Linked DNA regions of Oryzias latipes. The protein of the gene in region 1 interacts with the protein of each later gene in a pairwise test. Links are inferred from orthologs where the notes say so. Each region holds a gene or a part of one and is shown in the gene's direction. Other genes may lie near its edges.

What was found.
Region 2: the proteins of wdr4 (region 1) and rabggtb interact in binary tests that used the Homo sapiens proteins (3 or more experiments, as listed by UniProt). The two-hybrid records come from large-scale screens. The link is inferred for Oryzias latipes from reciprocal best matches to the Homo sapiens genes WDR4 and RABGGTB.

What each region holds. Positions count from the first base shown.
Region 1 is NC_019879.2:31,098,002-31,102,379, reverse strand, and holds the start of wdr4 (tRNA (guanine-N(7)-)-methyltransferase non-catalytic subunit WDR4), read left to right. Parts: upstream 1-1,271; 5' UTR 1,272-1,381; coding exon 1,382-1,412; intron 1,413-1,487; exon of another isoform or gene 1,488-1,494; coding exon 1,495-1,699; intron 1,700-2,121; coding exon 2,122-2,190; intron 2,191-2,933; coding exon 2,934-3,065; intron 3,066-3,146; coding exon 3,147-3,303; intron 3,304-3,509; coding exon 3,510-3,622; intron 3,623-4,378. Other genes in the region: fibrous sheath CABYR-binding protein, read right to left, coding at 1-25, 1,105-1,149. UniProt on the Homo sapiens protein: Non-catalytic component of the METTL1-WDR4 methyltransferase complex required for the formation of N(7)-methylguanine in a subset of RNA species, such as tRNAs, mRNAs and microRNAs (miRNAs).
Region 2 is NC_019875.2:3,791,867-3,795,006, forward strand, and holds the end of rabggtb (geranylgeranyl transferase type-2 subunit beta), read left to right. Parts: intron 1-159; coding exon 160-285; intron 286-1,418; coding exon 1,419-1,568; intron 1,569-1,644; coding exon 1,645-1,785; 3' UTR 1,786-2,345; downstream 2,346-3,140. UniProt on the Homo sapiens protein: Catalyzes the transfer of a geranylgeranyl moiety from geranylgeranyl diphosphate to both cysteines of Rab proteins with the C-terminal sequence -XXCC, -XCXC and -CCXX, such as RAB1A, RAB3A, RAB5A and RAB7A.

The sequences.
Region 1 (4,378 bases):
CAGTACAGCTCTCGGCCTGCAAACACTAAAGACAGAAACCAACTTCAGTGAAGTTCTCCCAGGACCCAACAGAACCGGGACGGATCTGTGTGGAGTTAAAGCGAGGTTAGAGGAGGAGGTGCGCTCCGATGGAGAGCCTCACTCCATTCAGACTGAAGACAGACACTGGCAGCTTCACAGGGAGGAGGAGGAGAACTCAGGGTTATGTGAGGCTGCAGAACATCTCAGAACCGGTCTTTGGCCAGTTCACCTCCATGTGTTTGAAGAACCTGTTTGCAGGAGGACATTACAATCTCAACCGGTGTGCAGGTCCAAACCGGGGCGGCAGATGTTTGTCGGTCCTAAACTCAGAACTTCAGGAGCTCAGTCTTCTGTCTATTTCCACTCTGGAATTCCTGGTTCCAGAAATGCCAGCGCTCCAGGACGCATCCGGACAGCTGCAGGGGGCTGTCGGTGTCACAGGTCTAACGGGTCCGGACACACTTCCTCCTGCTTTATGGTGTCGGTCCATTTAGCAGAACACCTCTGACTAGAAGGTCCAAAATAATCTGATTTATGCAGAACTCGCTGCTCAGTTCAAAAGATGTTTTTCTACAAATAAACTTTATTAACCAAACATCTGTACGTATCGTCAGAAGAACACAGCGAATAAAATGATGATTCCATCTGAGTGGATGAAAACATAATGAAAAAGGAGGAAAGTTTAGAGTCTGAATTCCTGAGAGGTTTGCTGTGTTTTTAACGTCACAAATGAAAGTAGAGAAAGACGGTTTCATGTGGCTATATTTACATTTATGTCTATGGAATTTGGCTAAAAGAAGATTTTCATTGAGTAAATGGACCTTGTGTTTTCAGTTTCTTCAAATAATGTAAAATAATATTATGCAAATAAAAAACAAACATGAATAATGTGTTTTTTCCAGCCCGTTTTGAGCACAGGTCCAAAATGTTGTACATGAACAGGTCCAAACAAATGTGAAACGGTTCCGAATGACTAATGCAAACAGAACTGCTGGTGTCGATATCCTTTTGCACAGCTCTAAAGATCAGAACCTGCAGAACCAGGGCTTGAATGACCCAGAATCCTCTCGGATTCGGACTTACTCTCGTCCGGAACAGGCGTCCCGTCCTCAGCAGAGCAGCCGCCATCTTTCTGCTGCAGCCACGGACAAGCAGCACGAGCGCAGAGGAGCACGAACCGAACCGAACCGTACCTCACGGTCCAGGAGAGCCGAGCGTCACCTGTGATGTAACCCAAAATATGTGCTCGACCTCCCGCCAATCAGAGTAGGGACAGCTCCAGGATTGGGCCAATGAGATTATACGGATTTCACGCCACGCCCCCGGCCCCTCCCACAGCCGAAGCCTTCGCGAGAACATCATGTTTGGAAAAGTAAAACATCGACATAGAGGTTCGGCTTGTTAGAATTTTCCCACATAATCTGTTTGGTTCCGGAAAAACGATGAAATGTTTCTGTATCTGACTGTCTTCAGTTTATTTCTCTGCTCGTCCTCTGGGGCAGAAAACACACGAAGAAGAGACTGGAGGAAACGTGACGTCATTTATAGGCGACTGCGCGCGTGTCTGTCTTTCGGTGCACAGACGGCGCGGAAACATGAGGACCCTGGGCTTCTGTGGAGACTGGCTCGTGACCAGCTGTGGCACGAAGCTCGTGGCGGTTCACACGAAGGAGGACAGGTGAGAGCCGCGCGTGCCGCTGCATCAAGGACCACCGCGTGCTCCTCCTGGTAGTTGGGCTCTTCAGTCACGTGATGCAAACAAAACTAGTGCGAGCTGTTGGCTCCATAGTAAAATGATTGAAAAGGAAGCCTATGATGATGATGATGATCATGAGGGTGGAGATGAAGGTGGGACTTGAGTTTGAGGTCCGTTAAGATGGTTGAAGGCAGAAGAGATGGGATCAGGGCTGTTGATGAAGACTATGATGAGGAAGACTGTGGGCAATTTCTGATGACGTTATGGCTCTTGATAAAGATGATGATGGTCTGTGAAGGTCGAGCAAGTGGCCACGCCCTCTGTCACACCAGCAGATCAGACGTTTTCCTCACCTGAAGGTTGTGAAACGACCACAGCTGAAGCACTTCCTGTTTGACCTGCAGAGAGGCGTTTGTGTTTGACTGCAGCCTCGCTGAGAAGAAGCCGAAACAGACGAAGGGCGATGACACCAGGTGAGAACATGGAGCAGGAGGAGCAGAGGCTGATGGGAAATGCAGGTAACCTCTGAAGGCCCGTACACACCGGGACGAATATTCGCCAGGCGTTTTTCGCCACGTCTTTTGTGTTCACACCCAGGCGATTTTCGCTGACGATGAGCCGAGCGAACATGCAATTTCATTCCCTGACATTAGATGGCGCTTAATGTAAACAGAAATACTCCTGTACACAAGGTGGCGCTGCGCAACTTTACGATTCTTAAAGTCGCTTTTCACTCAGAAGAAGAGAGCAAGTATTTACGCGCTAGTCAGAATCATACAAAGAAAACATGAATATTTCAAGCACCAGTAGCTCCAACTGGTGCTTGGTTCGGGGATATTTAAGAATGTCCGTCATTATTTCTTCGCGGCAGTGTAGACGCTACTTGGCGTCTATCTTCTTCGCTGGTATGTGTGCTCAGCAAGGCAGTTTTGTGTTTGAGCGCCCCCAAGTTGTGTTTTACTGTAACTTCAGAAGCTCCAGACACGTGTGCAAAAGCGCCATTCTCATTGGTCCAATAGATTTAGACGCGACGCGTCGGAAAAAAAAACGAACCCGAGGCGTTTTTTTTTTGACGCTTTGGCGCATGGCGTTTTTTCGCGTCGGTGTGCACACTCTCATTGGTGCCCTTTGTTTAGTCACGAGGCGTTAAACGTCGGCGAAAATCGCCGGCGAAATTCCCCCCGGTGTGAACAGGCCTTAAGTCTTATCTTTTCAGCGAGGAAACGGGAAACGACGAGGTGCTCGCCGTCGCCACATCTGCATCTGGAAAGTTGTTGGCGCTGACTGATGACACGAAGAGGCTGGTCCTGTTTGGCTGTGAGCCCTCGTGGAGATGCATCAGCACCAGGTGAGCTTCACCTGCGTGGCCACTGAGCGCCGCGTCATGTCCGGACCCGGTGCAACAGCAGCTTCTGCCTCTGCGGGGCAGGTGGGTGGTCAGGAGGTGCACCGCGCTGACCTTCAGCCGGGCGGAAGACGAGCTGCTGCTGGCCGACAAGTCTGGAGACGTCTACAGCTTCTCGGTGGTGGAGGCGCAGAGGGACGGCGAGCTGAAGCTGGGTCACCTGTCCATGCTGCTGGCTGTGGTAGGACGCTACACTCATGACGGCAGGTTTAACAGCAACCGTTCTGTAGAGAGCGCCGGCGTCACGGAAGGTAAACGCTGAAGATCATGAAGCATAAGCTGAGCTGAGGAGAACCAGAACCCCGAGGAACCCTCTGCTCTGATGAGAACATCCACCTGAGGGGCCGGGACCCTGACCTGCCCCTCCCTCTGTGTGCCCCCCTCCAGGTCATTTCTCCAGACGACAGGTTCATCATCACAGCCGACCGCGACGAGAAGATCAGGGTGAGCCACCGGAGATCCCCCTACAACATCCAGGCCTTCTGCCTCGGCCATCGACAGTGAGTGTCTGAGCCCGGAACACCGGCCCGGTCCTCCCAAGTCCACCTCTGTCCTCAGAGGCGGGTCACAGGGGCAGAACTTAGGTCTGCCAAGCAGAACCAGAACCTGCACTCATCCACGTTAAAGGGAGCCGTCGGTGGATCTGATGTCTGCAGCCGGATTCAACTTCCTTGTTCTCTAGACTTCATGTAGGACCCATTAAAATACATCCATTCCCCCTTAACTACCCCCTTAACAGTTAAGGGGGAAGCTGAAAACCAGAAGCCATAACGAACCCGAATCCATGGAGTTTCCAACTGTACCATCAGCATCCTCGGAACAGTAGAGATTCAGCGCCACATGTTCTAAACGTGGCTTTAGCGTGAGAACAACCGTCGTTCTAAAATAAAACGCTTCTGTTCTGCTAAATCCAGATTTCTTTTATTTTGAAGGCTTGAACGATTTTCTTCTGTTTTCTCTCCGTCTACTTTCTCCACAAAGAAACTTGAAAAGACTTTTGTTAACTTTGCTAGTCATGTGAAGAAATTAGGACCCCCCCCCATTAAAGTCAGCTCTGTCTTAATAATGTTAATAATATATAATGTCCAGTCTGATCTGGAACATTTTCTAAACAAAGGGATTTACCGAAACAAGCTAAAACATTACTATTATTCTACTCAGATCTGAACAAAAATCCCATTTTATTGGAGCTCAACGTTTGGACCTCCTGCATCCTTAAGATGTTTTTGCTCCTTTGGCTGAAATGGCGTCTTTTC
Region 2 (3,140 bases), on another chromosome or scaffold:
TCAGGCCTTCTTCCACCACCTCACGTCATAACTCAGAGGTCTGATTAAGAAGCGGAGGCGTTCTCAGGAGGAAAAGTTTTCATGCTGGACTGTTATGTGTTTCTCTTCAAGCCTCAGTTGTGTTTCAAAAGTCTAAACCTGTTCTGGTTCTGGTCTCAGATCTACTGCTGCACCGGGTTCTTGTCTCTCACCGGCCAGCTGCACCAGCTGAACGCAGACCTGCTGGGCTGGTGGCTCTGCGAACGCCAGCTGCCGTCTGGAGGCCTCAACGGAAGGCCTGAGAAGGTTTGACAGCTTCTAACATGAAATCACAAATCTTTTTAGTTTCCTCGTGAACCAAACCTTAGTGCTGTTGAAGAAGATCATTGAACTCTTTTTCCCATGAGGACCAGCCCTCAGAAACCTGCCGGCGTTCTGAAAAATGTGTTTGTGTACACATTTCCTGTCATTCCCCTTTTTCCCTAAAAAGGAAAGTGAAGTGTGGTGGATCACAGAACACGTTTCTGCTGTTTGTCTGTGACACTGATGTCACCATGGGTTCCATGGGTTCCTATGAATTAAGTGAGAAAGAAACAGAACATGTGGTACTTGCTGTAACAACATTTCTGGGTTGGCTTCAAATATCAGCCCCTCCAGAATTTTCCGGGTCTTCCGATCAACTGCCTCCGACTCGGTCCAGCTGCTCTCATTTTGAACAAGTTTCACCATCAAAATTTCACAATTTACTGTGTGTGGGTTTAAAGAAATCTAGAGTCCAGGTTTTGGGGGTGAAATGAGCACATTTAATGTTATCGGACAGAAAGGAAAAGGTTTTCAAAGCATCACTGAGTCAGCTTTTTATTCTTTAGTTAAAATGTAACGTTTTAACGAAAAGATAATGTTTTTGTGTGAAGTTTGCTAAGCATGCTGCTGTTATTCCATTGTTCAGGTTTGACAAACACTCTTGAACAAACAAGGACAAAAAAAGATATCATTGTAAAGAAATCCCTGATGAAGAAGGACTTTCATCAGTGTGGAGCATTTCCTGTGACGGTGCATAAAGCTGCCCTTGGAAAATAAAACAGCTTTAGAATTTGTGTGCCATCCCTTTAGTTTGAAAAGTGTAGCAACTTTGATCACAACTTTGAAGGCAAAAACTAGCGGCGGCTTCAGGATTTTTGTGCTGCAATAATCACTGAAATAGCTGTGAGATCCTGAATTTTGTGATGTTGTGGTTTGAGTGGAAGACAGAGAAGAAGAACAGAGATTCCTCAAACACTCGCATTCTGTGGAGGAAAGAGATGAAGGCCTTTTGCCGCTTTAAGGCCAAACATCAAGTTTGCTCGCCGTTTTTTTCTTTTTCTTTTATGTACTACTGGCAGACGGCTGAAGCTGTGAATGTTTTGCACTCCTGGTCTCAAAGCCATCTGTCTTTGCAGCTTCCAGATGTCTGCTACTCCTGGTGGGTTTTGGCATCTCTGAAAATCATCGGTAGGATCCACTGGATCGACAAGTCCAGACTACGCCAGTTTATTCTGGCCTGTCAGGATGAGGAGACGGGAGGTTTTGCTGACAGACCAGGAGACATGGTGAGCTATCACACACATAAGAAGAAGAAGAAGCTATCCGACATGTCTGGACCTCCGTGGTTCTGTTTTTTTGAAGGTGGACCCTTTCCATACTCTGTTCGGGGTGGCTGGACTCTCCCTCCTGGGCGAGGAACAGGTCAAAGCGGTAAATCCGGTGTTGTGCATGCCAGAGGACGTGTTACAGAGGATCGGCCTGCAGCCGGACCTCCTCAGCTAGCCTCCAGATGCTCGGCATGTGTACGTGATGCTCCTCCGACCTCCACGCCTGGACAATGGAAGCAGAGACAGAAGCACGTTTCTCAGCCAGAGTTGAGTTCATTCATTGAACAAACGAGGAAAGTTTCCGTCATTCAACATTCCTGAAGCTCTCCACTGGATCAGTCCTGGAACATCTCTTGTCTCATTTCTGTCCTGTTTTTGTCCTTTTATCTCCGTAACAACTGCTGACCATCTGACATGTTGCTGTGGAAAAACCCCTGATACATTTAGTGAGGAAACGTTTCAGGAGAGGGCGACAAATCTATCATTTTTGATGTTTTAGAAGCTGAGACTGCCTCTCTCTGTTGTCTCATGTTTCTGCCTTCATGCTCCTGCAGCTGTGTTCATGGGCTTCAAAGCTGCAAAGACTGTTTCATGTCACTCAGCTTCAGAGAGTGTCGGCCGGCCTCAGAAGGCTCCGTTTTGATGCCACCTTGAATGTCTTCTCCACACTTCCAGCCACTATATTTATTAAAATGTGTCACTCTGTGAGCGTCTGAACGAAGCTCCAGGAAACTCTGTGCTCGGTCACTTTCTGCTCTTTATCTTGTGTGGGGAAGTTTTCAACCGTCTCCTCTCTGCCGTCACATTCAGGCTAAAACGATTCTACTTAATACAAGGAAAAGAAAACATGTTTTATCAGTAAGATTTTCTAAATCTAATAAGAGCTTTTCAAAACTTGAATTCAAATTTGATGAATAAGACAAATGCTCAATTACAGCCTCAATAAGTTTATGCTCTGTGTTAAAACACTTTAAATATTTTCAACTTTGACCTTCAGCAAATCAATGACCAGTGAAAACCCTTCAAACCTAAGTAATGATGTTTTTGTGTGTTTTATCCTCCTAATTATAATTATTTTGTTTTGGGAAACTCAGCCATCATGAATCATTGACATTTAGGAAGAGATTCACTCTTCAAGGACAGTTTCAGGAATCTAAATTCCATAAGTTCTATTTTTATGAAGAGATTATTCATTTAATTTGAAAGAGTTTTTTACCCCATAAATCTTTTGAGTTATTAGAAAAAAACAAAACATGCAGTTGAGCCATAAAACTGTAAATGTTCTTTTCTAAAAGCCTCATATTTACGCAGTAACCTTAAACCCAAACTCAACGTCAAACATTTTGTAGAAAAGCAGAAACATTTTTTGACATTTGGCTACCTTGTCAATGAATATCAGAATTCTGGTAAACGTGGTTAAAAGCCGTCTTCTAAATATGATTCTTTATTTGTCATTTGATGATGGATCATAATTGTATTTACAGCTAAACCTTCGCTCTGTTTCTCCTCTTCTTCAGTTCACCTAAGATC